Macaca fascicularis: one gene and its partners. The protein of the gene in region 7 binds, or shares a complex with, the protein of the main gene of each other region. Links are inferred from orthologs where the notes say so. Each region holds a gene or a part of one and is shown on either strand. Other genes may lie near its edges. The genes, in order: TAF11, GTF2B, transcription initiation factor TFIID subunit 13, TAF4, TAF1D, TAF12 and TBP.

What was found.
Region 1: TBP (region 7) and TAF11 share a complex: the UniProt entries of both Homo sapiens proteins name them as parts of the TFIID basal transcription factor complex. The link is inferred for Macaca fascicularis from reciprocal best matches to the Homo sapiens genes TBP and TAF11.
Region 2: TBP (region 7) and GTF2B share a complex: the UniProt entries of both Homo sapiens proteins name them as parts of the TFIID-containing RNA polymerase II pre-initiation complex. The link is inferred for Macaca fascicularis from reciprocal best matches to the Homo sapiens genes TBP and GTF2B.
Region 3: TBP (region 7) and transcription initiation factor TFIID subunit 13 share a complex: the UniProt entries of both Homo sapiens proteins name them as parts of the TFIID basal transcription factor complex. The link is inferred for Macaca fascicularis from reciprocal best matches to the Homo sapiens genes TBP and TAF13.
Region 4: TBP (region 7) and TAF4 share a complex: the UniProt entries of both Homo sapiens proteins name them as parts of the TFIID basal transcription factor complex. The link is inferred for Macaca fascicularis from reciprocal best matches to the Homo sapiens genes TBP and TAF4.
Region 5: TBP (region 7) and TAF1D share a complex: the UniProt entries of both Homo sapiens proteins name them as parts of the transcription factor SL1/TIF-IB complex. The link is inferred for Macaca fascicularis from reciprocal best matches to the Homo sapiens genes TBP and TAF1D.
Region 6: TBP (region 7) and TAF12 share a complex: the UniProt entries of both Homo sapiens proteins name them as parts of the TFIID basal transcription factor complex. The link is inferred for Macaca fascicularis from reciprocal best matches to the Homo sapiens genes TBP and TAF12.

What each region holds. Positions count from the first base shown.
Region 1 is NC_088378.1:136,805,552-136,809,589, forward strand, and holds the start of TAF11 (transcription initiation factor TFIID subunit 11), read left to right. Parts: upstream 1-1,238; 5' UTR 1,239-1,323; coding exon 1,324-1,494; intron 1,495-4,038. UniProt on the Homo sapiens protein: The TFIID basal transcription factor complex plays a major role in the initiation of RNA polymerase II (Pol II)-dependent transcription.
Region 2 is NC_088375.1:145,835,540-145,839,793, reverse strand, and holds the end of GTF2B (transcription initiation factor IIB), read right to left. Parts: intron 918-4,254; coding exon 784-917; 3' UTR 501-783; downstream 1-500. UniProt on the Homo sapiens protein: General transcription factor that plays a role in transcription initiation by RNA polymerase II (Pol II). Involved in the pre-initiation complex (PIC) formation and Pol II recruitment at promoter DNA.
Region 3 is NC_088375.1:125,372,382-125,376,578, forward strand, and holds the start of transcription initiation factor TFIID subunit 13, read left to right. Parts: upstream 1-1,397; 5' UTR 1,398-1,459; coding exon 1,460-1,486; exon of another isoform or gene 1,487-1,660; coding exon of another isoform or gene 1,661-1,661; intron 1,662-2,248; exon of another isoform or gene 2,249-2,346; coding exon 2,347-2,425; intron 2,426-4,197. UniProt on the Homo sapiens protein: The TFIID basal transcription factor complex plays a major role in the initiation of RNA polymerase II (Pol II)-dependent transcription.
Region 4 is NC_088384.1:118,113,312-118,117,477, reverse strand, and holds the start of TAF4 (transcription initiation factor TFIID subunit 4), read left to right. Parts: upstream 1-1,366; 5' UTR 1,367-1,433; coding exon 1,434-2,793; intron 2,794-4,166. UniProt on the Homo sapiens protein: The TFIID basal transcription factor complex plays a major role in the initiation of RNA polymerase II (Pol II)-dependent transcription.
Region 5 is NC_088388.1:92,775,366-92,779,607, reverse strand, and holds the start of TAF1D (TATA box-binding protein-associated factor RNA polymerase I subunit D), read left to right. Parts: upstream 1-1,442; 5' UTR 1,443-1,653; intron 1,654-2,381; exon of another isoform or gene 2,382-2,457; intron 2,458-3,608; 5' UTR 3,609-3,634; coding exon 3,635-3,702; intron 3,703-4,242. UniProt on the Homo sapiens protein: Component of the transcription factor SL1/TIF-IB complex, which is involved in the assembly of the PIC (preinitiation complex) during RNA polymerase I-dependent transcription.
Region 6 is NC_088375.1:206,387,807-206,392,069, forward strand, and holds the start of TAF12 (transcription initiation factor TFIID subunit 12), read left to right. Parts: upstream 1-1,463; 5' UTR 1,464-1,646; exon of another isoform or gene 1,647-1,911; intron 1,912-4,263. UniProt on the Homo sapiens protein: The TFIID basal transcription factor complex plays a major role in the initiation of RNA polymerase II (Pol II)-dependent transcription.
Region 7 is NC_088378.1:506,202-509,701, forward strand, and holds part of TBP (TATA-box-binding protein), read right to left. Parts: intron 2,606-3,500; coding exon 2,202-2,605; intron 1-2,201. UniProt on the Homo sapiens protein: The TFIID basal transcription factor complex plays a major role in the initiation of RNA polymerase II (Pol II)-dependent transcription.

The DNA of each region.
Region 1 (4,038 bases), about 140 Mb from region 7:
CTTTTCTCCACGAGCGCGTCACTTCCGGGATCCGGCGTCACGCGTCACCGCGCCCCCGCGCCCCGCCCCCTAGCTCACCTAGCTGGGCGGGGCTCCGCGGACCAGCGCAGGTGGATTTTGCTGTGCCGAGACAGGCCTCACGGGTTATGGGGACAGCGCCTTGTGGGTCCCCATTATATAGGTGGAAAGGGACAAACAGGCCCACCTGTACGCGCCTCCCGAAGTGCGCTCCTTCCCTAAACGTTTTGGGAGCTCCTGGGACAGGAAATACGGCAATTCGTCCAGGCAGCGCAGAAACAAAGAGATAAATATGGTAACGCGCACCTACATTTCCAAGGACATTCTTTAAGCACGCATAAATTAAATATGTAATAGGTGCTGGGACCTAGTCATACCCAGGTGAATAAAACGCCCTCCCCCTCGTATCTCTATGAGGGAAGAGAAGAAAATTTTAAAATAGAAATATCCTCACCACTTCATCCTCCCAGTACATGAACTAGTTCGTTAAAGTGAAACGTTCGAAGGAGACACCTTCCTCTCTTTAGGCTTTCCTCTTAGTTTTGGTAAGATTAACCAAAATGATAGAAAAGTGTCAGACTTGTAGAAACAAACCTCAATCTTGAATACTTGCGAACTGAAAAAAAATCATTTAATTGGATAGAAACTATGTGTGTTTTGTTCCCTGGTACTAGCACTGTTTCTAAATCGAAGTACGCAGTCAATAGTTGTGGATGAATAAATGAATTGGATAAATTCTGCTCAAGCTAGATGACTTTTTGTTGTTAAGGTGCTTGCTGAATGGAGCGGAAATGCTAGCAATTCCACGTACACACAGACCCGCGGTTTCGGGCCAGTTGAAATACACAAGGTTGAGTCTTGCCTGAAAGTTTACCAATCCCGGGTAGCCTCATTCCACGACACCGCCATACAACGGAACTGAGTTTTCTCCCGATCCCCCAACTTTACTCTGAGGGGTTAACGAAGGGATTAACTGGTATTGAATTTTTAGACAGGCGAAAAGGAAAAAGTTATTTAGTAAACAAAACTGCGCTCCTTCACAAGTGCTGGTTTCCTAGCTAGGAGGATCCATAGTCTGAGCTCTTTACGTCCAATTTTCCCGCTTCCCACTGTCGCCAAACCAAAGTTAAAATGAGTCCTCTAGTCCTCTACGCGCGCCTCAAAATGACCCCTCAGGAGAGCGGTAGGGGTGATGTCATCGCTGCGCGACGACAGGAAGTAAGATACTGTCCTGTGCAGCTCGGGGTTCCGAGCTTCTGCCTCAGACATCGCCGCGATCTCCTCTCCCCTCCAATCCTATCCGTGATGGACGATGCCCGCGAGTCGCCCTCCGACAAAGGTGGAGAGACAGGGGAGTCGGATGAGACGGCCGCTGCGTCCGGGGACCCGGGGGCTACCGACACGGATGGAATCCCAGAGGAAACTGACGGAGACGCAGATGCGGACTTGAAAGAAGCTGCAGCGGAGGAAGGCGAGGTAGGAAGAGATGTATCGATGAGGCTGAAGGAATACCCAGAGATCGTGTTACTGGGTGCTTGCCGGGCTTCTGGTTAGTCCCTCCCAAGTTACGAGAACTCGAACTCACCAGAACTCCCTCCAGATCGTTAATCTTGAGGGGGAAGAGAGCGGACGACCAAACAGAACTCCAGTGCTGGTTCCGTTCCAGAGGCTCAAGCACTGCGTTAATATTTTTAGTCTTGTCAAGGGATTAAAGCTACTTCTAAGGGAGTTTTAATAGCCTATTGGCTTTAGTGGTGAGGAAACTGGGATCCAGTGTCACACTGAGACGCAGTGCAAGAGCTAAAACCCAGGATTCGTAGCACCCCTTTCACCGCAATATGGTTCGTCTTAGATGTTAAGACAACTTTGTTTCTTTATAGGAAGGAGGGTCGATCAAACCTGTCAAAGGGAGATAGACTTTTATAAAAGTGTCGCCCGGGCTGTAGTACAATGGCGCGATCTCTGGCTCACTGCAACCTCCGCCTCCCGGGTTCACGCGATTCTCTTGCTTCAGCCTCCCAAGTAGCTGGGATTACAGGCTCACACCACCATGCCCGGCTAATTTTTGTATTTTTATTAGAGACGGGGTTTTACCATGTTGGCCAGGCTGGTCTCGAACCCCTGACCTCGTGATCCGTCCGCCTCGGCCTCCCAAAGTGCTGGGATTACAGGTGTGAGCCACAGCACCCGGTGATCAGGGACCCATCAGTTGGGTCTGGTGTTTTTATGCTACAGAGAGTTCAGCAGTGTTGCCTAGCTGAACATTGGTCAGGACCAGAAACTCATCGTTCTCTGGATTACATTTCTGGAAGTAGAATCTTGGGGTCTTAGAGCTAGAAGGGATTTAAGAGATCGTGGGGTGAACAGTAGATTAGATGGAAATAGCCTTTCAGTGTATAAAGTTGCATAAAAATATATAAAGTAAGAACTTTTAGAAAAAGAGAAAATTTGGCCGGGTGCAGTGGCTCACGCCTGTAATCTTTGGGAGGCGGAGGTGGGTGGATCGCCTGAGGTCAGGAGATCCCCAATATGGGGAAACCCTGTCTCTACTAAAAATACAAAAATTAGCTGGGCATGGTGGCAGGCGCCTGTAATCCCGGCTACTTAGGAGGCTGAGGCACAAGAATCGCTTGAACCTGGGAGGCAGAGGTTGCAGTGAGCCGAGATCGCACCACTGCACACCAGCTTGGGTGCCAGAGTGAAACTCCGTCTCGAAAAAAAGAAAAAGAGAACATTTGACAAAAGTATTTTAAGGCAGGTTTCTTTTTTTGTTTTTGTTTTTGTTTTTGAGACTGAGTACTCGCTCTGTCACCCAGGCTGGAATGTGCAGTGGCGCGATCTCGGCTCACTGCAAGCTCCTTTAAGGCAGTTTTTGTTGGTTTGTTGAGACAAGGTCTCACTCTGTCACCCAGCCTGGAGTGCAGTGGCACAGTCTCTGCCTCCTGGGCTCAAGCAACCCTCTTATCTCAGCCTCCGCAGTAACTGGGATTGCAAGCATACTGCACCACGCTCAGCTGAAGTTTTTGTATTGTTTTGTTTTGTTTTGTTTCGTTTTTGAGACGGAGTCTCGCTCTGTTGCCCAGGCTGGAGTGCAATGGCGCAATCTCGGCCTACTGCAACCTCCGCCTCCCAGGCTCAAGTGATTCTCCTGCCTCAGCCTCCCCAGTAACTGGGATTACAGGCACGTGCCACTGTGCCCAGCTAATTTTTGTATTTTTAGTAGAGCCAAGGTTTCACCAAGTTGCGCAGGCTGGTCTTGAACTCCTGACGTCATGATCCATCTGCCTCAGCCTCCCAAAGTTCTGGGATTATAGGCATGAGCCACCGCACCTGGCCAGCTAAAGGTTTTTTAAATATTGTTTTGGTAGAGACAAGGTCTCATTATATTGCCCAGTCTGGTCTCCAACTCACTGGGCTGAAGTAATCCTTCCGCCTCAGCCTCCCAAAGTGCTAAGATTACAGGTGGGAGCCACCATGCCTGGCCAAGAAGGAAACTTTAAAACAGGTGTCAAGGACAGCAAGGATTTGAATAATTAGCTTGGTACACTAGAGAGCTCACTACATATATAAATTTGCACCGAACAGAGGATAAAATTATGTTGTTTCTGAAACACTTTTAAAAATCAATCATGTACTAGACCATGAAGAAAAATATGAATTCTTAAAAGTAGATATCATAACAGGCCACATCTTGTTAATGCAATGCATTAAACTTGAAATTAACTACAAAAAGCTTCTCCCCCACCAAAAAAGAACCCCCTGGAAATTTTAAACTATTTTTTAAATAGCCTTTAGACTAAAGAAATTAACAGAACACTTTATCAAATGATATGGGATTTGGCCAAAGCTTTATTTAAAGAAAAATGTATAGCCTTACATATTTTTATTAACAACCAGAAGATACTGCAAATAAGCACCTGACTCAAGAGACCAGATAAAGGGCCTAGTGGAGTAGGTCACACCTACAGACCTAGCTACCTGGCAGGCTGACACGGGAGGATCACTTGAGGCTGCAGTGAG
Region 2 (4,254 bases), on a different chromosome or scaffold from region 7:
TCAAAAAATAATAGATAATAAATGAAATGCTCTTTAGTCTGTGAGTATACCAGTAAGCCTAACAAAGAATAAAAAAGAACCAGGGATATGCAGATTCTACAACATGAGATTTTAACATCCAGAAATTAAAATCTATTGATCTGCTGCTGCTATTAATTTACCAGCATCATCTTCTCTGCTCAGTAAGTTCACTGAGAAAATCACATACTTAGAACATTTTAATGTCTGTCAAGCTGGTGCCTTTCAAAAGGTCCAAGCTCATCACTTCTTGTTTAATAGACATATTAATAAATCTCACATATGAATCCTTTCAAACTGGACACTAAATACGATGTGGATGTTAACAATGGTTCTCAAAAGCTTTTGCTCTTTCCATGAATTTATTAAAATAAAAAACTATGTATATATAAGTAATGGAAATAAAGCTTTATTAGCTGCAATGATTTGCATTATTTATAATTATGTATAAGTTAAATGTAACATATAATTATAACAAAAACTTTAGTTTTGAAAAATGTTTTATTCAAGAATTACATAATTTCAAATATCTTCCAAAATACAGTTTCCTAGATTGCTACAAAAGAAATTTGATAAGAAATTTAAATCATTAAATATGTTTCACTGGTATATATACATACAGAATGCCAAGCAATAGTATTCAGCCCTGGAATGCGTACCATGTCTGTTGTTTTTCCTCATGAAAGGCTCAACCCAGCATTTTGTATAGGCTATGTACAACAGGCAAAGTTCTGTATTCAAGAATTTGACGTTAGCTGCCTCAATTTATAGCTGTGGTAGTTTGTCCACTGGGGTGTCAAATTTGAAGTCTGTAGGAAACAGATCCGGGGCTCGAGGATAGATAAGTCTATAGGACTGTCTGATTGTAACATCAGCAACACCAGCAATATCGCCAATTTCTAAAAGACAAAAATCAAAACATTAACCGTCATTTCCATCCTACCTCCTTTCTACTACCTGCATTGTCATTTGTGAGATATGATTATACAGTATAAAGCGCCAAACTTAAAAACAAAACCAGAAGTGATTTCTAAAAACTGATAATGGAAATACATACTAAAAGGTAGAAAGCAGCAGCTAGGCCAGACACAGTGGCTCACGCCTGTAATCCCAGCACTTGGGGAGGCCGAGTTGGGCAGATCACTAGGTCAGGAAATCAAGACCAGCCTGGCCAACATGGTGAAACCCCATCTCTACTAAAAATACAAAAAATTAGCCAGGCGTGGTGGCGGGCGCCTGTAGTCCCAGCTACTCAGGAGGCTGAGGCAGGAGAATTGCTTGAACCCGGGAGGGGGAGGTTGCAGTGAGCCGAGATCGTGCTACTGCACTCCAGCCTGGTGACAGAGCAAGATTCCATCTCTAAATAAATAAATAAATAAATGTTTAAAAATCCATTTTAATAAAGCATTCATAATGCTTAACCAAATATTGACTCAAAAAAAAAAAAAGCGGGAGCTAAAGTCAGTAACCAACAACAATAAAAATGATAGCAGTAGTTACTACCTTACAGAGCTGTCAATGTTTTAAGGAGTTTAATATAAAATATATGAACAGGGTTCAGGACTTAGTATTAGGAGTGTTATCTTATTATACTGGGTATCGTATTTACAACTGACTGCTCCTTTTTCTTTATAAATCTTTCTGATGATCACAAAGTACTCCACAAATACATTCTTGTAAAGAAATTCACTTTTTATTTCTGTGTTTGAAAGTTCCCATGCAAAATCTCCTCTAGCTAACTTCTGTTAAGAGGTCCCTATTAAAAACAAAATGTTACACTGTAAATATTGTTCTACAGTCTTTTTTTCTACTTAATACATCGAGGTCAAACAGCTACTTATAGCATACGGAGATGCTTTTCACTGATACAAGCACATAAGCAAATATTATTAGCTCAAACGAACATTTCTAGTCTATTACAAAATCCTAATAGATCCACTTTTACCCTTTAAAGTCACTGTCCCTTTTTTCCTTTCAAAGTCATTAAAAGAAATACCAAAGGACTGCCACTACAATATTTGGTTAAGTATTATGAATGCTTTATTAAAATGGATTTTTAAACATCACTTATATATTTAAAGAAGGAATCTTGCTCTGTCACCCAGGCTGGAGTGCAACGGCAAGATCTCGGCTCACTACAACTTCTGCCTCCCTGGTTCAAGCGATTCTCCTGTCTCAGTCTCCTGAGTAGCTGAGGCACCTGCCACCACGCCCAGCTAATTTCTGTATTTTTAGTAGAGGCGGGGTTTCACCATGCTGCCCAGGCTGGTCTCAAACTCCTCACCTCAGGTGATCCACCTGCCTCGGCCTCCCAAAGTGCTGGGATTACAGGCATGAGCCACCATGCCTGGCCTAAACATCTTTTAATACAAACTCATTTTATCACCTTTTCACAGTTGATTCAAATCAGTGAGGTTTTAGTGATTTTCACTGTGAATGCCTGCCATCACTGTACAATTAGCTAATTTTAAATTTCCTTATCTCACACTGCATTACATTATTCTACATCTAAATACCAATAAATGGCAACTATTTGAATATCAACTGCCTGCTGTGCAGGGAAGAGAAGGACCTTACATTTGAAGACGACTTTTCATATAAAGCTAAAAAGCAGAAAGCACCAAGATTAATGTTTCCATGTTGTTCATTAGAATAAACTTTACAACTAGAAATGTACCTCAAGGACAAACTGCCTAACTGCAACTTCTCAATTTTACTAAAAGACTCAAAATTTCCTTAAAACTAAGTGAAGGCCAAAGGGAATGGATAATGGCTCCTTTAAATAACTAATGATTGGCTTCCTCTTTCTAATTATTCCTATCATTTATTATTTTTTCAACATATAGCCTAAGCTGAAGGCTGTTGTGAATAGAGTATTACAAAGTTATTGAGGCCAGTAATTCACTAACTCACTTTCTGTTTGTTTTTTGAGACAGTCCTGTTCTGTCTCCCAGGCTGGAGTACAGTGGTGCAATCTAGACTCACAGCAACCTCTGCCTCCCAGGTTCAAGAGATTCTCATGTCTCAGCCTCCCAAGTAGCTGGGACTACAGGTGTGCACTACCATGCTGGGCTGATTTTTGTGTTTTTAGTAGAGACAGGCTTTTTGCCATGTTGGCCAGGGTGGTCTTCAACTCCTGGCCTCAAGCAATCCACTCACCTTGGCCTCCCCCAAACTGCTGGGATTACTTGTGAGCCACCACGCCCTGCCACCTTTTTTTTTTTTTTGAAAAAGAGCCTCACTCCATCAACCCAGGCTGGAGGGCAGTGGCATGATCTCAGCTCACTATAACCTCTGCCTCCTGGGTTCAAGTGATTCTCCTGCCTCAGCCTCCCTACTAGATGGGATTACAGATGTGTGCCACCACACCTGACTAATTTTTTTGTATTTTTAGTAGAGACAGGGTTTTGCCATGTTGGCCAGGAGGCTGGTCACCGCACCTAGTTTATGAATTTCTTTACATGCATTTGTTTATGAATAACTTCTATAATCCTCAAAGATTTAGAAAGGAGTAGTCACTTCTAAATTTAAAAGGGAGTTAGTGGGCCATGCGTGGTGGCTTGTGCCTATAATCCCAGCACACTGGGAGGCAGAGGCAGGCGAATCACATAAGGCCAGGAGTTCGAGACAAGCCTGCCCAACGTGGTGAAACCCCATCTCTACTAAAAATACAAATATTAGCTGGGCGTGGTGGCACGTGGCTGTAGTCCCAGTTACTCAGAAAGCTGAGGCACGAGAATAGCTTAAACCCAGGAGGTGGAAGCTGCAGTGAGCTGAGATTGTGCCACTGCACTCCAGCCTGGGCAACAGAGGGAGACCGTTTCAAAAAAAAAAAGGAAAAAGGAAAAGAAATTCACTTAATACTTCTGGTGAAAGTTTTCCTACAACACTAAATTTAAACATGGTTTTAGAAGGCTGAACCACTTATGTCTACTTACTTCAGAATTTGTATTAAGAAACTGTAAAATACTGTACAAGATGGGAAAAAACCAACCTTAAGAGAATGTTAAAGGCTGATGGCCAACACATATTTTACAGCGTGTCTATCTGCAGGATCCCATGCCAAGCAGTGAGAAACAAAGCATGCCTCCCTGACCCCTAAGATTTAAAAACGTAAGTTTGGGGAGGAAAAGAGTATGATCAAGAGGATATATTTAGGGAGAAAAAAGAACTTGTAAGAATAAAAGATGTACAAACTAAAATAATTCAAATGGGAAAAAAATTAGGTTTACAGGG
Region 3 (4,197 bases), on a different chromosome or scaffold from region 7:
CGGATCTCAGCTCACTGCAAGCTCCGCCTCCCGGGTTCACGCCATTCTCCTGCCTCAGCCTCCCGAGTAGCTGGGACTACAGGCGCCCGCCACCTCGCCCGGCTAGTTTTTTGTATTTCTTAGTAGAGACGGGGTTTCACCGTGTTATCCAGGATGGTCTCGATCTCCTGACCTCGTGATCCACCCGTCTCGGCCTCCCAAAGTGCTGGGATTACAGGCTTGAGCCACCGCGCCCAGCCGCTTTGTGTTTATTAACAAAGATAGGTTCAAGCCTCACATAACTACTTTTCACTCACCGAATGTTCAGCAGGACATTCAGAAATCGTGTGTATTGCGGGATTTTCTTTATGTAGCATCATCTGTTACACTGTAGGACACATATTTTATATCCCTAGCTCTGGCCTTCCAATGCCTGTGGTTTTCCCAACCATTGTTCCGACCAAAAGCCTTCCCCAATGGACACGGTGGCTCACACTTGTAATCCCAGCACTTTGGGAGGCCGAGGGGGGCAGATCGCTTGAGATCAAGAGTTCCAGACCAGCCTGGGTGATGTGGCGAAACCCCATATCTACTAAAAATACAAAAATTAGCCGAGCATAGGTGGTGTGTGCCTGTAATCCCAGCTACTTGGAGGCTGAGGTGGGAGGATGGCTTGAGCCCAGCAGGTCTAAGCTGCAGTGAACCCGGATTGTGCCACTTCACTCCAGCCTGGGGGACAGTGAGGCTGCGTCTCAAAAAAAAAAAAAAAAAACCAAAAATGAGGCCGGGCATGGTGGTGCACGCCTGTAATCCCAGCTACTCGGGAGGCTGAGGCAGAAGAATCGCTTGAACCCGATAGGCGGACGTTGCAGTGGGCCGGGATTTCGCCACCGCACACTCCAGCCTGGGCGACAGAGTGAGACTTGGTCTCAAAAAAAAAAAAAAAAAAAAAAAACACACACACACAAAAACAAACCTTCACAAAATTTTAAATGCTTAGTTTTGGGACACCATCTCTTGGAAATTTGTGGTGAAGCACAGTATCCCCAGTAATTAACATAGTGCTTAGAAACAGTGGAACCACAACTCTTTAAAATGATTTAAAAGCATTTATGTCAGATAAAGGACCGCTGGCTAGCCCTCCTACGATCCATAGCTTCGCAGTCCCCAAACAGGAAGGCGTGATTCAATGCGCAGTAGCAAATTTAGGGTGACAACGAGATACATCCCACGGAGCCCGTGATTTCCTTTTCTTTGTTAGTTTTCAATTCCTTCAGTGTTACAGGGAGGAGCTCCGGCCTCCTCCGCTAAAGACTGTCGCATTTCCGCCGCTAGGCCGGAAAGCACCACCGTCCTTCCGCAGGCCTCAGTCAGCTAGGCCCAGCTCCAGCCCCGCCCGTCACCGGAAGTGAGGCGACGGAAGTAGCGTAACCCGCTGAGAACCAGCCGGCGGGGCGCTGTGGGTTGGCGGGCTAGTGGGATGGCAGATGAGGAAGAAGACCCCACCGTGAGTGACCGTCTGTGTCCAGAACCTCTCTTTTCTTCACTCCTTCGGGCTCAGTAGCGGAGGCAGAGTTCAGGATCGGATCTGCTTGCCTTAGTCAATTCAGCCGACAGAATTCGGGGACTTCACTCCCTAAGGATTGATCATTTTAGAAAGTGGGGAAGGACATGAAGAAAGAGTAGGTTTTGTGACCCCTTTCCCCTTGATTTTGATCTTTATTTGCCAGACACTGAAACACTTACAGAATCATCAGACGTCAAAACTAACATCTATTAGCGCTCACTATGAACCAACAGTTCAATTGTTAACAAAACTGTACTTACTGTGAAGTAATGGGAAAAGAATGCATTGAAAGTCAGACAGCCTGGATTTCAAAATCTCCATTCTCTCTAAGCAAGTTATTTAACTTTGACAATCAGTTTTCTTGTTACAAAATAGGGTTACGGGCTTACTTAAGGAACGTTTTTAGCACCGTATATGCAAATGCTTAGTAAATATTAGTTTTGCTTAATTGAAAGTCTACAAAGGTAGACTTTGATTCAGTATCAACTGTTTAACAGTAGCAATAGGCCACCTTAGTTGTTTAAAAATAAAACCTATGGTCATTGTAACTCTTACACGTAGAAGCAGTAGGATTATTTGTTAGGAACATTGTAGAAGCCATTTTTGGATGAGTTGGAAATTGGACTCGATACCTAGGCTGCTTACGTGCTAAGGTTTTGTGTTTTTTTTTTTTTTTTTTTTTTTTTTTTCTGCTTCCTTTAGGCTTTCTGGCCTATCTGTTGAAAAGGAAAAAACATTGTTATTATTAAAATATCAAATGCAAGGCAATTATTTGACATTTCTATATATACGTTTTCTAGTTTGAGGAAGAAAATGAAGAAATTGGAGGAGGTGCAGAAGGTGGACAGGGTAAAAGAAAGAGGCTTTTTTCTAAAGAATGTAAGTAGTATTTGACAATGATTTTGTTATAGATGATGAAAACTTTTGGACATATCCTTTCCAAGTACATTTATTGCTTTGAATGTTTCCCTGTAGTGACAATATTCTCAGACTAGCCTATCAAATTCTGTTTAGCTTTTGAATCAGATAGTACCAATCCTAACCCCAGTTATATGTGTGTGTATGTGTGTCTGTGTATAAATTGCTTTTTAGGTGAGCAAATGTAGTTCGTGTTTTAATTTAGGGCAGAAGAACATACCTCCATTAGTTTTCCTCTTGCCTTTGCAGCAGTAGAAAGAGAGGCTTCTTTGACTGTAAGCCACAGATACTAATGGATCCTGCACCAGGTGTTGAGGGAGAGTAGCAAGTGAGTTGGGGCTTGGGCTTTGGACTAAGGCTATGAACAAAGTAAGAAGGTGGTGAACAGCTGGGTGTAGTGGCTCACGCCTGTAATCCGAGCACTTTGGGAGGCTGAGGCAGGTGGATCACTGGAGGTCAGGAGTTTGAGACCAGCCTGGCCAATGTGATGAAACCCCATCTCTACTAAAAATACAAAAATTAGCCAGACGTGCTCGCTTGAACTCAGGAGGGAGAAGTTGCAGTGAGCCAAGATTATGCCACTGCACTCCAGCCTGGGTAACACAGCAAGACTCTGTCTCAAAAAAAAAGAAGAAGGTGGTGAATAGTGTAAGACATTAGAGTGACATGGAGGCTAGATGCAGTGGCTCACGTCTGTAATCCCAGCACTTTGGGAGGTCAAGGCAAGCAGATCGCTTGAGCCCAGGAGGTCAAGACCAGTCTGGGCGACATAGTGAAACCCTCTCTCTACAAAAAATACAAAAATTAGTAGGGCATGGTGGCACGCCCCTGTAGTTCCAGCTACTCTGGAGGCTGAGGTGAGAGGATGGCTTGGGCCCAGGAGGTGGAGGTTGCAGTAAACCCAGATTGCGCCACTGCACTCCAGCCTTGGTGACGGAACCAGACCCTGTGTCCAAAATAAATAAATAAATAAGCAAAATAAATAATGACATGGAGATTATAATGTATTGATTCTGCATCCTACCCCCTCAGTAGATGCTTTTGACCCTTTTTGGCAACAAGAGGAAGGGAGAGCTGCTGCTACTACTGATGGTACAGGCCAAGCCCTGGAACACAGCATGAGAATGTGCTCTCCATCTCCAGTCCTGGGTCCTTTATGTAAAGTTATATCTAAGTATTGAGAGATGAGGCAACACAGATTTATGAATATGGTTTATTTAGGCGGGGTTATATGTGAGCAGTTCCCAAATGCCCTTGAAACTACAGGGTCAGTATATCTTTTTTTTTTTTTTGCAATTAACTGGGCATGGTGGCGTGTACCTATAGCCCCAGCTATTCAGGAGGCTGAGGTGGGAGGATCACTTGTGCCCAGGAGTTCAAGGTTGCAGTGAGCTGTGATCATGCCACTGTACTCTAGCCCCAGTGATAGAAGAGTGAGACCCTGTCTCGCCACCAGCCCCAGCTAATTTTTTGTATTTTTAGTAGAAACGGGTTTCCCCATGTCAGCCAGGGTGGTCTCAAACTCATGACCCAGATGATCTGCCTAACTCGGCCTCCCAAAGTGCTGGGATTACAGGCCTGAGCCACCATGACCAGCCATACCCAGCTAATTTTTGTATTTTCAGTAGAGACTAGTTACACCATGTTGGCCAGGCTGGTCTCAAACTCCTACCCTCAAGTGATCCTCCTGCCTCAGCCTCCCAAACTGCTGGGGTTACAGGCATGAGCCACCA
Region 4 (4,166 bases), on a different chromosome or scaffold from region 7:
TCGAGAAACAAGCCTGGGGTGAAGTCCCGTATTCCAGCTGTCTCAGTCAGTCCATTCCCTTGCGAGGCTGCAATTCGAACAGGCACAAGGGTCCAGTTCGGGTCTGCTGTTGAGACTAGCAGTCTCCTTTGCTACAACAATTAAAAAAATCATTTTCTATGTCAGCAACGTCATTCATCGTCCCGAGGTCTCTGCTTATTGCGGCGCTGTCTTCAGCTGCGAAGACTGATCCTGCGGCCTCTTGTCCCCAGTGAGGTCCGAGGCAAGGAAGCGTCTCTCTGAAACCTATTCTGGGCTCTTAGAAAGAAATGGGAGAAAGGAAAACCACTAGAAATGTCCAATAACACCATCTTTTGGTTGGAAAATAAAACACGCAGAAAGAGAGAACTGGAACTTTTACTGAAGTATTTCTAGAGAGAAGGTGCTTGGGAACATTTTAGGTAACTTACTCCCCTCCCCCAGCAGAACGTAAAAAGAAAGCTACTTCCAGATTTGCCAGCTCGGGAACTTCGTTTGGCGCCTGGCAGGCACCGTGCTCTTACCTACGGGCTTATAATGACACTCCCGTCTCCAAGGCAGCTAGGTGCGGGTACAGTCACCCCGGGGCGGCTTAGTTTATTGATTAAAAATGGAGGGAAGGGCCAGGGGTGGTCACGATTGGAGGGCGAGAAGAGCCGTGCGCGCAGGACCCCTCCCCACCGCCCGGGACCGGCTACCCAGGGGCGGACCCAGCTTCCTTCCCCGCGGCGGCTTGGAGGGGCCGGGCGCCGGTCCCCGTCCTCAGGGCGCGCTGCGAGAGCCCCGTCCCCGTCCCCGCCTGCTTCTCGGGCCCATCCACTCCGGGGCCTGCGCGCTGCCCGGCCGGCGCCCCGGCATCCCCGCGCGCTGCTCCCCGGGCCTCGGACGGGCCCTGCACCTCCGCTGCTACCGCACAGGGCGGCCCGCCCGGCGTTCCCGTCAGCGCCGCCGCAGCCATTTTGGAGCGAGCGGAGACAAAGAGCGAAGCCCCGTCGCCGCCCCGCGCTCGCCTCGGCCCGGCCCGGCGCACCGTCCCCGCATCCCGCGCCCCGCCCGGCGGCCACCGCCCCGCCCTGCCCGCCACCGCCCCGGCTCCCGCGTCCCCGAGCACCAGCCCCCGCGCTTCCCGCCGCTGCTACCGCGCCCAGGCCGACCGCCCGCGCCCCGGCCTCTAGCGCTCGCAGCCATTGGCCGCGCCTTTTAAGCGCGCACCGCAGCCAATCGCCGGGCGCCCGCGGTCTCCGCGCCTGCGCAGGAGCGCCACCCCGCGCCCCCGCCCCCCGGCCGCGCGCCCCCGCCCCCCGCCGGCCGCGCGCCGCCCCCCGCCCGCCCAGCGCCCGCCCCACTCGGAACCTCCTCCTCGCCCAGGCGCGCTCGGCCCGAGCGGCGGCGGCGGCGGCGGCCGAGGAAAAAAGATGGCGGCGGGCTCGGATCTGCTGGACGAGGTCTTCTTCAACAGCGAGGTGGACGAGAAAGTGGTGAGCGACCTGGTGGGCTCGCTCGAGTCGCAGCTGGCGGCCAGCGCGGCCCACCACCACCACCTCGCGCCGCGCACGCCCGAGGTGCGGGCCGCGGCCGCCGGCGCGCTCGGGAACCATGTTGTGAGCGGCAGCCCGGCCGGAGCCGCGGGCGCAGGGCCGGCCGCCCCCGCCGAGGGCGCGCCCGGAGCGGCGCCGGAGCCGCCCCCCGCAGGTAGAGCGCGGCCGGGGGGCGGGGGGCCGCGGCGCCCGGGCCCCCCCTCACCGCGCCGCCCCCTTGTCCCCGCAGGGCCCGCGCCGCCTGCCGCGAAGCTGAGGCCGCCGCCCGAGGGCAGCGCGGGGGCCTGCGCCCCGGTGCCCGCCGCCGCCGCCGTCGCCGCGGGGCCCGAGCCCGCCCCCGCCGGCCCCGCCAAGCCCGCCGGCCCCACCGCGCTGGCCGCCCGCGCCGGCCCCGGCCCCGGCCCCGGGCCCGGGCCCGGCCCCGGCCCTGGCCCTGGCAAGCCCGCCGGCCCCGGCGCCGCGCAAACTTTGAATGGGAGCGCCGCGCTGCTGAACTCGCACCACGCCGCCGCACCTGCTGTCAGCCTGGTCAACAACGGGCCCGCCGCGCTGCTGCCGCTGCCCAAGCCCGCCGCCCCCGGCACTGTCATCCAGACGCCCCCCTTCGTGGGCGCCGCCGCGCCCCCCGCGCCCGCCGCGCCCTCGCCCCCCGCCGCCCCCGCGCCCGCCGCCCCCGCCGCCGCCCCGCCCCCGCCACCCCCCGCGCCCGCCACCCTGGCGCGGCCGCCCGGCCACCCTGCCGGACCCCCGACCGCCGCGCCCGCTGCGCCGCCCCCTGCCGCAGCCCAGAACGGGGGCAGCGCCGGGGCAGCCCCCGCCCCCGCCCCGGCCGCCGGGGGCCCCGCGGGGGTCAGCGGCCAGCCCGGGCCTGGCGCGGCGGCTGCAGCGCCAGCGCCGGGGGTCAAGGCCGAGTCGCCCAAGACGGTGGTGCAGGCGGCGCCCCCGGCGGCGCAGACCCTGGCGGCCAGCGGCCCGGCCAGCACGGCTGCCAGCATGGTCATCGGGCCAACTATGCAAGGGGCGCTGCCCAGCCCCGCCGCCGTCCCACCGCCCGCCCCCGGGACCCCCACCGGGCTGCCCAAAGGCGCGGCCGGCGCAGTGACCCAGAGCCTGCCCCGGACGCCCACGGCCACCACCAGCGGGATCCGGGCCACCCTGACGCCCACCGTGCTGGCCCCCCGCCTGCCGCAGCCGCCTCAGAACCCGACCAACATCCAGAACTTCCAGCTGCCCCCAGGTGAGTGGCCGCACGGGGCGGGAGGGAAGGGCGGGTCCCAGCAGCGCCAGCTGCCAGTTCCAGGAAGTTCTCCGCTGGTGGAATGCTAAGGTCATCTGTCCCGTAGGCCCGTGGCTGGAGCAGGCCGAGGGGCAGCCTCTACCCAGGTGCGGGGCCAGCCCGGGTGGCTGCCTGCGAGTGAGCCAGAGGGAGTCGGCATAGTCTGCGTCCCTGTCGCTGTTCCAGACGTCCGCGGTGGCTGCCTGTGGCTGGGGCTGGTCTGTTTCGGAGTGGCTCAGCCAGGACTCCTACTGGAGCGGTCCTTACCTGCTCCCGCCCTGTGTGCCCCTGCCCCGGTTGGAAGGCTCAGCGCAGGGGCTCCCTGGGCCAGGCGATGGGGTCTGCAGAGCTGAGGGCAGAACCTGGAGGTGCGAGTGGCAGCAACTGTCCCCTGCTCAGTTCTGCAGTTAGGCGTGTGGCCTGTGTCCCCACTTAGCCTTTCTACCCCTTTGTGACCCTGGGCTTGAGCCTCCCCAGTCTCCAGGCGAGGACGGGGGCACGACACCCCCTCCTCGAGGCTCGGGAAGTCGGGATGGAAGGCTTGGGCTTCCCTGTTGGCCACCAGGAAGGCAGAGATGTCGGGCGCACCCTGCGAGAGTCCTCCAGGCGCGCAGCCTTGCTGAGAGCCATGCTCTGGAGTAGGGTTTCAGCACCGTGTGTGTCACCGTCTCTTCCAGCGCTGCGTTGGTGCCTAAAGGAAAGAGCGCCCAGCTAGTCTGGTTGCTGCCCCCTCGGGAGGGCAGTGGGAGGGCGGTGGCAGCAGATGCTCTCACTCCGTGCAGGGGTCTCGGGGTAATACTGGCTGTGCTGCGGATGCCTTGGGCTCAGACGCCCCTTCTGCCTGGCAGTACTCACGCTCTTGGTCTAGTCTGCTGTCTCTGCGACTCTTCAGGGCCCCTCAAGTTTGACGGGAAAGATTGCCTGACCAGCATTGCACGCTAGGCTGCTTTTGTCTGGGGCTCCCCATCCCTCCCCAGCCGCCTTGGTGGGTGCTGGGCAGGGGAGCTCCTCCCCGGCCTGTGGTGACGCGCGCCATGCAGTTGTAGCAGCTCGGTGGCAGCAGTAGTAGGAACTTCGAGGAGAGCGTGGGTCTTTTCTGTGTCCCCTCTCTGAAGGGAGCTATTGGTCACTTTGAGAGGTTTGCAGCATCTTCAGAAGTGAAAGGTTTTCCTGTCCGAGTATGTGAAGTTCAGGGCTGGTGGTCAGACTGGACAGGGCGGGGGTAGGGAGAGTCTGTCTGGGAGACCGCTAGGCTGCAGTGCTCCAGGGAGGAAGAGGGCTGAGAAGCCACTTCTCCGGGGTTGCTGAGACGCCCGTTGTGACAAGCTGTTGGA
Region 5 (4,242 bases), on a different chromosome or scaffold from region 7:
TACCACTTTTCCCCTTCTTTTTGGACAAGGGACGCTGCATTTACATTTTGCATTGAGCCTCACAAATTACAGAGCTAGGCTTGCTGCTGAATATGGCAGTGAGGGACATGCCATACCAGTCCTGGAGCTTAGTCACTGCCCAGCCCCTGTGGATCAAATGCAGTGTCAGACTTTTTATCCCCGAAATTGTCCAATCTATGGAGCAAAGGAGGGTAAAGAGACCAGATTACTTTTAAGGCACGCGCTATCCTAAAATGATGTAAACTATAAAATAAGATTAGACAGCTTTACTGGTTTTTGCGGTGTATCATATGAAAACAGAAGTTTGAAACCAGAAAAATCAAACCAGTTCAATCCTTTTAAAAATTTCTTTGGGAGGCCGGTGGCTCACGCCTGTAATCCCAGCACTTTGGGAGGCCGAGGCGGGTGGATCACCTGAGGTCAGGAGTTCGAGACCAGCCTGACCAACATGGAGAAACCCCGTGTCTCCTAAAAGTACAAAAAAATTAGCAGGGCATGGTGGCACATGCCTGTAATCTCAGCTACTTGGGAGGCTGAGGCAGGAGAATCGCTTGAACCCGGGAAGCGGAGCTTGCGGTGAGCCAAGATCGCGCCATTGCACTCCAGCCTGGGCAACAAGAGCGAAACTCGGTCTCAAAAAAACCCCAAAAAACCGAAAAACAAAAAAAAAAAACAAAAAACTTTCGAAGAAAAAAACCCCACCAAAACTAAACTAGTTTACACAGCTTAATCTTAACTCAGGAACTGGTCAAGGAACTAATGGTGGGGGGCGGGGGGGATGTAGGAGGAAACTGAGGAAAAAGAAATCCTCCACAGGTCTCACTTGTGACGTGTTAGCCAATTCCTGGGAGGCAGAAAGGGTGAGCTCCCGAAACAGGTGCAAAGGTGGGGAGGAGACCTGGGCGTGCTACGGCATAACACTGGCGTCCAGCACAAAGGTTACAAACTTCGAGTAACCTTCCCGAATATTTTCACACACAAGGGTTTTGAAGGCAAAAGTAGACACAGGATGACAAAACACTCATTCACACATCCCACCCGTCACCCTCACCACATACTCGGGACCAGGTTTAGAAAGCCGGGAGACAGCTCAGCAAACGCGAGACCACCGGAAACGACCCGGGCTGAGAGGCTGTTTCCTCGCAGTTCTCATCCACTCACAATTGGCCGCACATTTTCTTTTTGTTATTTGCCGAAATGTTCTTGGCTATTCCACTTACCGAATCGGTCACGCAAGCAAAACACCAGAATCCCGATCTCCGCCTACGCCAACCCCGCCTCCTCAGAGTAAGCGAGCTACAGCTCCGCCCACGTTAGTCGCTCCTCCCTGCGCGGCGAGAAAAATGGCGCCCCCGCGTCGCGACTCCTCCCACCGCTCGCCTTCTTCCCGGGAGCTAAATTGTATCGCGAGATTTCTGCCTGACTATTACTTGGGCCGCGGGGATATCCCACCCTTTTCTTCCGCGCGGTTGGAGGACATCGGCTAGTTTTCCGGAGTTGGAGGACTGAAATCGGGAGGGTGGTGTGTGCAAATCTCCAGGACTCACGCACCAGGCCAGTCGCAGGTTTTGGCCCGAGGCCTGGGTTACGGGCAGCAAGTGCGCGGTTGGGGCCGGTGTGAGGCGGTTTTAGGTAGGTTGCCAAGAGGGCAAGGCCGTCTGGGCTTGTTGGGCAGGGGAGGCATTGCATATCTGGGGTTTCGGCCCCTGCGTTGTTCCGGAGGATTGAGCCTCGGAAGTCGGGCCGAGAGGGTGAAGGGATCACGGTTGCAGGCCACTCCGCGCCACGCGGCTGGTATGAGGCCCACAAACGTGGTTGTAGTGTGGGCGGGCTTCATTATATCTTGAGATGGAGGTGTTAAAACGTGTTGCAGACAAGTTTAACCTTCTTAACGTAATTTAAATGATTTAACCTTCATATGTGAGGTACCCATTGATAGCGCCGGTTTCCTGGAGGTTAGGCGCTGCCCGGAGAGACGCGCTGGTGGTCACAGAATTAGCTCCGGGTAAAGCGCCGCTTTCTGCCCACGTGGCCTCTAAGAATTGCAGAATTCCAGCGGATGCATCGACACCCAAGTAGGAGTGTCTTCTAAACACTAAGAAAAAAGTGATTCTTGAGCTAGCTTTATTTTGATAATCCCTACTTTAAAAAAAAATTAACCACAGGTATACCATTAATGCATGGGGCCAAATTTTTGTTGAATTCCGTTTTTGAGCATTCGATATATAATGACTTCGTAGAATCCTGTACTTAAGCTAATAAGACGTACTACCAGAAAATTACCACAGGGGTCCATTGGGCATTTAACAAATCTGAGCTCTTGGTAACCTTATCGTTTTATATTTTAAATGTTTTGCTAGTTCATCCTAGGATTTATATGCAATGACTCATGTTAGGTCCCAAGAAGCTACAGAATGAGACAAGAGATTGACTAAGGCAAGTACAATAGTGAAATAAGTAGTTATCCTTCATTTTTGTTGCCATGCCTATTTTTTTTTTTTTTTTTTTTTTTTTCTGAGACAGGGTCTTGTTCTGTCGTCCAGGCTGGGGTGCAGTGGTGCAATCTCGGCTCACTGCAACCTCCACCTCTGCTCAAGCGATCCTCCCGAGTGGCTGGGAGCACAGGCACGGGTCACCACACCTAGCCAGTATCTTAAGAATTTTTTGTAGAGACAAGGGTCTCCTTGTGTGCTGAGGCTCACTACATACAACTTCCACCTCCCAGGCTCAGGTATTCACCTACCTCAGCCTCCTGACCACAGGCGCGCGCCACTAGCCCGGCTAATTTTTGTATTTTTTGTAGAGACGGAGTTTCACCACGTTGCCCAGGTTGGTCTTGAGCTCCTGGGCTCGAGCGATCCGCCCGCCTCGACCTCCCAAAGTGCTGTGTTACACAGGCCTGAGCCACCCAGACCAACCTGTTTTTTCTTTTAGCTCACAAGAAGGAATCTTTTTTTTCTTCTTTTTTTGGCATGTTGTATACTCTACCATGGGGATGAAAACACAAAGAATTATGATAGTTTATTGAAAAAGGTTGAGAATTCAGAACTTGTCAGTTTCCACCAATAATGGCAAAGATACAGTATGACAAAGTTCAGTTACTTAAATGAATCTAGGAATGAAGAATCTAGGAATTATAATGGAGAGGTGATCAGGGTCTGTTGATTGGAGATCCTTTTCCTGGTTTATATAGGGCACATTTTGCCTTAGGAATTCCCTCTTTGATCTTGGAAAATGGTTTTTAATTTTACATTAATACTGTATTGGTAATTGCACGTTAGTAAGTGGCTAATGATAAAACTGTATTTTCTACTTATATTGAAAGATGCTTTTTTTGGAAGTGACAGTACTTTTTTGGAATCTTGTTCCATTGAATACATTTAGAGGGTAAAAACTGAAAGAACCTGTGAATAGAATTTCTGGATTTCTTTTTAAAGAAATTGATCTGAAATGGATAAGAAGGTTAACCCCGGCAAATGATTTTGCCTAAAATCAGTGGCATAGTCTGACCATGTTGAATATTATAGTAGATACTGTGTCAATATTTAGGGAAGCTTTGTCACATTTACTAAATTTCATAATTTCAGAAAACTGTTATAAAACAAAGCAATTGATGGATAAATCAGGAATAGATTCTACCGACCATGTGACATCTGATGCTATGGAACTTGCAAATCAAAGGTAAGTGGGTTTTTACTGGAGAACTGAGTGGATTCAATCATATTTATTGTATCTGAATTATGAGAAATTATTTTATATAATGAGTGACAGTAAAGATGATTTTCAGGAATTGGGAAAGAAGGAAAACCAGATTTCACTGACCTTCCAGGTTTATCTAGTTAATGTAGATTGATAATAGCATTGCAAATACTTTAAATTCAAAATGTGAATATATTATAATGGGACACATTCTTCAAGAAAAAAATGTATTCTTTGGGTCATATTAGCATCTCTTCCAGACTACCTCTTCCTGTTTCTGTCTGGTAGGCTGTGTTTGTTTTACTCACTCTTAGCAGTGAACCAAACCATACAGCCTTTGTGGAGCTCATACACCATACAGCCTTTGTGGAGCCATACGTTATCTTAAAAGATACATAGTTTTTTGCTAAGCTGAGCACAGTGGTGCATGCCATTAGTCCTAGCTAGCTACTTGGGAGGCTGAGTCAGGAGCATCCCTGGAGTTCCAGGAGTTTGAGGTTGCAGTGAGCTGTGATTGCACCA
Region 6 (4,263 bases), on a different chromosome or scaffold from region 7:
GGGCAGGATGCTGCACCAATCTGGGCACCTTTCCTAATTTCTGCTGGCAGATACTGTGGCTCACACTGGCCTGTCACAGCTTTTTTTTTTTTTTGAGATGGAGTCTCGCTCTGTAGCCCAGGCTGGAGTGCAGTGGCCGGATCTCAGCTCACTGCAAGCTCCGCCTCCCGGGTTTATGCCATTCTCCTGCCTCAGCCTCCCGAGTAGCTGGGATTACAGGCGCCCACCACCTCGCCCGGCTAGTTTTTTTATGTATTTTTAGTAGAGACGGGGTTTCACCGTGTTCGCCAGGATGGTCTCAATCTCCTGACCTTGTGATCCGCCCGTCTCGGCCTCCCAAAGTGCTGGGATTACAGGCTTGAGCCACCGCGCCCGGCCCACAGCTCTTTATACATTTTTTGGTGTGTTTGTGGGTTCTTCTCCATTTTACTGTGAACCTTACAGATGCTGGAACTGGGTCTGACTTGCATACCTAACATTCCAGCATACAGTAAAAAATAACAGTTCTCTCTTTTTTTTTTTGAGACAGAGTCTCGCTCTGTCACCCAGGCCGGAGTGCAGTGGCGCGATCTCGGCTCACTGCAACCTCCGCCCCTCCAGGTTTAAGCAGTTCTCTGCTTCAGCCTCCGGAGTAGCGATTACAGACGCGTGCCACCACGCCCGGCTAATTGTTTTGTATTTTTAGTAGAGACGGGGTTTCACCATCTTGGCAAGGCTGGTCTTGAACTCCTGACCTCGTGATCCACCCGCCTCGGCCTCCCAAAGTGCTGGGATCACAGGCGTGAGCCACATAAAAGCAATTCTCACCAAGCATTTGACAGCAAAAAACTGTCCTGTAGAGAATGCTACAGGATAGGCTTTGGCTTAGTAGTGAGGTCTGAGTTCAAGCTGAGGCTCTGCACTTATTAGCTAGAATTTTGCTTAATCTCTCACAGGTCTCCTCTAACTGATTAAATGGCGTAACGGAGGTAAGCCGATTAGCACAATTCCTGGCAAACAGTCAGCAGTCAATTGTTATTACTGAATTGCCAGTTCACAGGCACAACCAACCGATCTGTCTCATCTCCCGGTTCCTGTGTTGCCAACTTCCTCGTTGAGGTTCAACAGGATACCTGTGGGGTAATGTGTCCCAGATGATATCCTGGTCCTGACACCATGACAAAGGCACCAACCAAAAATGGCGACCTCAAAGCCATCCGAGGGCGTCAATTACCCGTCATGCTACCGATGGATAAATAAGCAGAGTCGGGAAGAAAAGCTAGTGAAGGATTCTTAACGCCGGGGTGGAATACGCAGAGCTCGCTCATGCTGCCACTCAACTACAAGCAGTTAAAAGCGCAAGCTGCAGGCTACAGCTACACACAGCTCAAGATCGCCACCACGTGTCGGAGGGCAGTCTGCGCCTGCGCAAGCGAGGCGCGCGCCCGCCGGCCGGAAGAGCCGCGCGTTTCCGGGTTGGAGGCGGGGAGCGGTGCCGGAAGTAGTCGGGGAGGGCCGCGCAGTCGGACCGGCTGCTGAGACGAACGCTTCTCTGGGGCAGTCTCCGCATATCATGGGGAGATAGACGCTGCTGCCTGTGAGTCTTGGGCCCTGGCAGTTGAGGAACAAGAGCGGGAGGAGGGAGTCAGGACCCAGATCTACAGTAGGTCAGTGTTCGAAGGACCAGGTTGTGGACGAGACGGGGCTGTGAGGATTCAGGCTCTTGGGAAGGGACTGACAGAGGATCAGGCTCGGAGAAGACGCGGCTGTGGGGACCTGGGCTCCAAGACGGGACTTAGGGAACGGGGACGGATCTGAGTTCTCCGGCATCTGAGGGAAAGTGGTCTGAGAGGAGCAGGATTATGAGGACCCGCACTCCTACGAGGAGAGGGTCGGAAAGGAACGGGGTGTGAAGACACGGGCTCCGGAGAGGTAAAAGTGGAGCGGTGAGGACTTGGGCTTCTAAGAGGCAGAAGCGGGACAGTGAAGACCCGGCCTCCTAAGGATTCAGAAACGGGGCAGCGAAGACTCAGGTTCCTGAGGGGCAGAAGCAGACAGAGAAAACTTGAGTTTGGAAGGGAACAGAAGCGGGCAGTGAAGACTGGGGCTTCTTTGGGGACGGGATCCGGGCTTTGAGACTCCGAGTACCTGAGTCTCAGAACAGGGCGGTGAGGACCCAAGCTCCTAAAAGCCTTGGATCTAAGGGACCATGGATGTGAGATCAGCCTAGAAAGTAAAGGGAAAGGGTTTGGAAAATATTTAGTGATCCATTTTTTTTTCCACAGTATTCCCTGAACCCAGAGAGATAAAGGACGTATTCAGGGGAAGACAACTTCTCCTTCGCACTGCCTGCTTGGCTCTTGGCAGGCTTTTCTTGTGTTAGATACTCAATCTAGGAAGCCCACATGCAAACATCTTCATTTTCTGCTTCATTCTTGGGAATCAGATGTGAAGTTGAAAACAGTTGGAACTCAGTTATATACTTGATAAGTGCTTTAAATCCCATTCCACTCAACCCTGAATGAGCACAGATCTCTGCATCTCAAGTAAAAGAATGTCAGTGATGGAAGAGTCCCAAAAGATCATCTTTTAAAAACTCCTATTTTACATTTAAGGAGGCTAAGGTTCAAAGAGGTTTAGGATTACAGTGAGGCAATGGTTAGATCATAATTTTAATACAGTACCCTTCTGTGCGTAGCAAATGAGATGCTTGGTTAATGTTCCTTAAATGCTTCCAGAATCTTTGCTTTATCTTCAAACTCAGGAGGGAATTTTTTTTTTTTTTTTTTTTTTTTTTTTTTTTTTTTTTGAGACAGGTTCTCTCTCTGTTGCCCAGGCTGAAGTGCAGTGGCTCAATCTTGGCACCATGCACGTCAACCTCCTAGGCTCAAGCAATCTTCCCACCTATATATACCTCCTGAGTAGCTGGAACTACAGGCATGTGCCTCCACACCCTGCTAATTTTTAAATTTTTTGTAGAAACAGGATCTCACTATGTTGCCCAGGCTGGTCTCAAACTCCTAGGCTCAAGTGATCCTCCCACCTTGGTCTCCCAGAGTGCTGGGATTGCAGGCATGAGTCACTTCCCCCCGCTTCCAGTTTTCTTTTTTTGAGACAGAGTCACCCAGGCTGGCGTGCAGTGGCACGATCTCAGCTCACTGCAATCTCTGCTTCCCCGGTTCAAAAGATTCTCCTGCCTCAGCCTCTCAAGTAGCTGGAATTACAGGTGTGTGCTACAATGCCCAGCTAATTTTTGTATTTTTAGTAGAGACAGGGTTTTACCATGTTGGCCAGGCTGGTTTCGAACTCCTGACCTAAAGTGATCTGCCCACCTCAGCCTCCCGAAGTGCTGGGATTATAGACATGAGCCACCACGCCTGGCCCAGTTTTTATTTCCAGTAAAAACTGGAAATTTTTACAGTTTCTGATACTTTGAGTGTTATTACTGCATTGACATTGATACAGTAAATGTCACTTAATAGTAAGGAAACCTTTATTTTTATTTTTATATTTTTGAGACAGGGTCTTGTTTTGTTGCCCATATTGGAGTGCAGTGGCATCATCATAGCTCACTGCAACCTATATTCTTGAGCTCAAGCACTCCTCCTGCCTCAGCCTCCTGGGTAGCTGGGACTACAGGTATGAGCCACTACACCCAGCTAATTTTTAAGTTTTTTTGTAGAGACGGTGTTTGGCTGTGTTGCCTAGGCTGGTGTTGAATTCTTGTCCTCAAGTGATTCTCCCACCTTGATATCCCAGAATGTTGGGATTATAGGCATGAGCCACTGCACCTGGCTGGAACCTTTAAATAAAGCTCAGTGTTATTTATTTATTTATTTAATAAGCTGTTTGGAAAGCCATAAATAAGTGTGTCCTGCATTTTTAGTGCAAACATTTACTAGGGATGGCTGCTTTTGGATAAGAATGGTGGGGAGACTTGCACCAGTCACTTACTTCAATATTAATATCTTTTTCTGAAACCTACTCAGACTAACCAGGCACAGCTTAGGTACTTTTGAGTATTCTATGATTTAATTATCACAGCCCCACAAGTTAGATATTGTCAGTCTCGTTGTACAGATAATGAAATAGGTTTAGAGAGGTTAAATACTTTGCCTGGGCCGGGCGCGGTGGCTCAAGCCTGTAATCCCAGCACTTTGGGAGGCCGAGACGGGCAGATCACGAGGTCAGGAGATCGAGAGACGATCCCGGCTAACACGGTGAAACCCCGTCTCTACTAAAAAATACAAAAAAATAGCCGGGCGAGGTGGCGGGCGCCTGTAG
Region 7 (3,500 bases):
TTAGCAAAAAAAAAAAAAAAAAAGGCAAAACCCTGCTTTCTCTTCTAATTATCTCTCAGTAAATAAGGATAAACGGAGCCATCTGGGTCCACTGACCCTTTACATTTCTCAGTGTTCTTACATCACTTAATAAATAACTTATACAAGGATAAAGATATACTAAAAAGCAACTCTATTAGAAGTTTTAATAAAAATTTAAACAAAAACCTACATTTTCATTATACATTTTTTCTGCTTATGAAAGTATATATACTTGGCCAGGCACAGTGGCTCACGCCTGTAATCCCAGCACTTTGGGAGGCTGAGGTGGGCGGATCACGAGGTCAGGAGATCGAGACCATCCTGGCTAACACGGTGAAACCCCGTCTCTACTAAAAATACAAAAAAATTAGCCGAGCATGGTGGCGGGAGCCTGTAGTCCCAGCTGCTCAGGAGGCTGAGGCAGGAGAATGGCGTGAACCCAGGAGGTGGAGTTTGCAGTGAGCTGAGATCACACCACTGCACTCCAACCTGGGCGACAGAGCGAGACTCCGTCTTAAATAAATAAATAAATAAATAAATAAATAAAGTACATATACTTGAAATGGGCAATGTCCTTTGAATGCAATTAACTGCGCAACAAGTGTCTTGCATGGACCTGGCAATCACCATCCCAAGAATATAGAGTCCAGATTTCAAATACATAGGTTCAAATACAATAGGTTATAGCTCACTGTTGCTTCTGGTTCTTTTTCTTATACTGTCAAAATGCAAAACTTTTGAAAACTTGATGGCTCATAATTTTGTTCAAAAGAGAATGGCAGTCTATGATACACAACCGTAAAGCCAATTAGGTTGATCCACACAATGTTTTCATTTCCATATCATCTCTTTCCTTCCAATCACCGTTGTATACACACCTGGCTTTAGCATTTGTCCACTGATGAACTATATCAAGTAGATTTTAGTACATCTATCACAACTTTCATCACATAATTGTTAAATGTATTCTTATATGTTTTCATTCATGAAATATTTGCCTTAATCCCTCTTAAGCCTACAAGACTGAGAGGGCACTGAATTACCACGCAGGAGGGTTCTTAGTAGAGAGCAGCTCAGGGACGTGGATGACTGGATGCTCTCGGGAGTATCAGAACAACAAAGGCACGGCAAGAAACAAACACCTGACTGTACTGTTTATACTTTATTATTTAAATCAGAAATGCAAACTTAAATTTTCCTGGGAGTCCGACAAGCATGCTGGACACATGGGAGCGGTACAGACAAGGGTGAGCTAAAAAGGGCTGTCTCTAAAATCACTAAAATTACTTTGTTTTTAAAATTGTGTGTGGGGTCAAACAAAATTGTAGAGGCAAGATTTAGGTCTTTGGGTAAAAGTCAGCATCCACGATTACACACCACTAAGTTCCAAAAATGATCAGAGATAGCTTATAAACAACAACCATATATGTAGCAAGGTGAATAAATGCAAATAGGAAATACTAGATCTAAAGGGAGTATGAAGGAGGAAGGTATCTGTACAAGAAAACTGAGGAGATGCAGAGACTGCAAGTAACCTTTTAATTTGGTCATAAGCTTTCTAACATGAAAAGCTGCACGCTTCTTATTGACGGGGATTATTTGGAAATATTTGTTGTTTTTTCAGGAAGATGAAATTATTTCCTATCCCTAATACCCTGTTACATATAGAACCCACTTCACTTAGGTAGAAAAATCCATTTAGGACAAGAACAGTCATCCTCATTTTGTGGGAAGGACACAGACCTTCAAAGATTCATATGCAGTCCCCACAGTAAAAATAAAAAACAAGAACTGCCAGAAATTATACTGATACTGTGACTAAAGACCTAAAATAGCATAAGGGAAAGAGACTACATAACATTGTGATTTGGCGATATCAGATACAGGGAAATGTCTATAATATAATAATAATGACAGTGAAAATCACATTAAATTTTATTGGCTCAGGTATATAAACACAAATGACCACATTCCTAAACCTGTTAAGAACCTTTTACTGAGGGCACTGACTAAGATGGCTTTGCTTCCCTTTCCCAAGTGTGAGATAAAGCAAATTTTGATACACAATTGCTGTTAGTGCCATTCCCTCCCTTAATAAAAGGATCCATCAGAAAACAGAGCAGGAACACAACTCAAAGGGACTCCTAAGTGGGAGGAAACATAAAACACCAAGTACTCACTGCAGCTGCGGTACAATCCCAGAACTCTCCGAAGCCGGAGTGGCAGGAGTGATGGGGGTCATGGGGGTCACGGGGGAGGGATACAGTGGAGTGGTGCCCGGCAAGGGTGCAGTTGTGAGAGTCTGTGAGTGGAAGAGCTGTGGTGCCTGGCCTGAGGTTCCCTGTGTTGTCTGCTGGGATGTTGACTGCTGAACGGCTGCAGCGGCCACTGCCTGTTGCTGCTGCTGCTGCTGCTGCTGCTGTTGTTGCTGTTGTTGCTGCTGCTGCTGCTGTTGTTGCTGCTGCTGCCTTTGTTGCTCTTCCAAAATAGACAGACTATTGGTGTTCTGAATAGGCTGTGGGGTCAGTCCAGTGCCATAAGGCATCATTGGACTAAAGATAGGGATTCCGGGAGTCATGGCACCCTGTGGAAAGCAAGGAGAAAAACAGGTTAGGCTGGCTGCTGCTGAGTGTTTGTGGAAGTTTCTTGGTGGAACAGCAGGTGAGATGTGCAAAGACAGACGCCCTCTGAGAATAATGGGGTTATTAATCTTTAATTACGGAAGAACCAGCTATTCTTATACACATTGCTTTCTTCTTTAATACCACACAGTGGATAAACATGAAGAAAAATGGATAAACTGAACTTTGGAAAAATTAAAAACTTCTGTTCTCTGAAAGACACCATTGAGAAAATTAAAAGGCAGGCCACAGATTGGGAAAAAAATACCTATAATACATACATCTGAGAAAGGACTGGTAAACAGAATAATAAAGAGCTCTGACAACTCCATAAAAAAAGATCAACAAATAAAATAATGAAAAAGGACAAAAGATGTGAAGGGCATATTACAAATGAAGATACAGGCATACCTCAGAGATACTATGGGTTAGGTTCCAGACCATCTCAATGAAGCAAGCAGCATGAATTTTTTGGTTTCCCAGTGTCTACAAAAGTTATGTTTACACTATAGTCTATTAAGTGTGCAATAGCATTATGTCTAATAATATGTATATACCTTAATTTTAAAATGCTTTATTGCTAAAAATGCTAACAATCCTGTGAGCCTGCAGCAAGTCATAATCTTTTTGCTGATAGAGGATCTTGCCTCGATGCTGACAGCTGCTGACTGATCAGGGTGGTAGCTGTGGCCATTTCTTAAAATAAGACTGACGAAGTTTGCCACAAGGACTGACTCTTCCTTTCACTGAGATGTCTCTGTAGCACACGACGCTGTTTGACAGCGTTTTACCCACGCTAGAACGTAGTTCAAAACTGGAGTCAGTCCTCTCAAACGCTGCTGCTGCTTTCTCAACTAC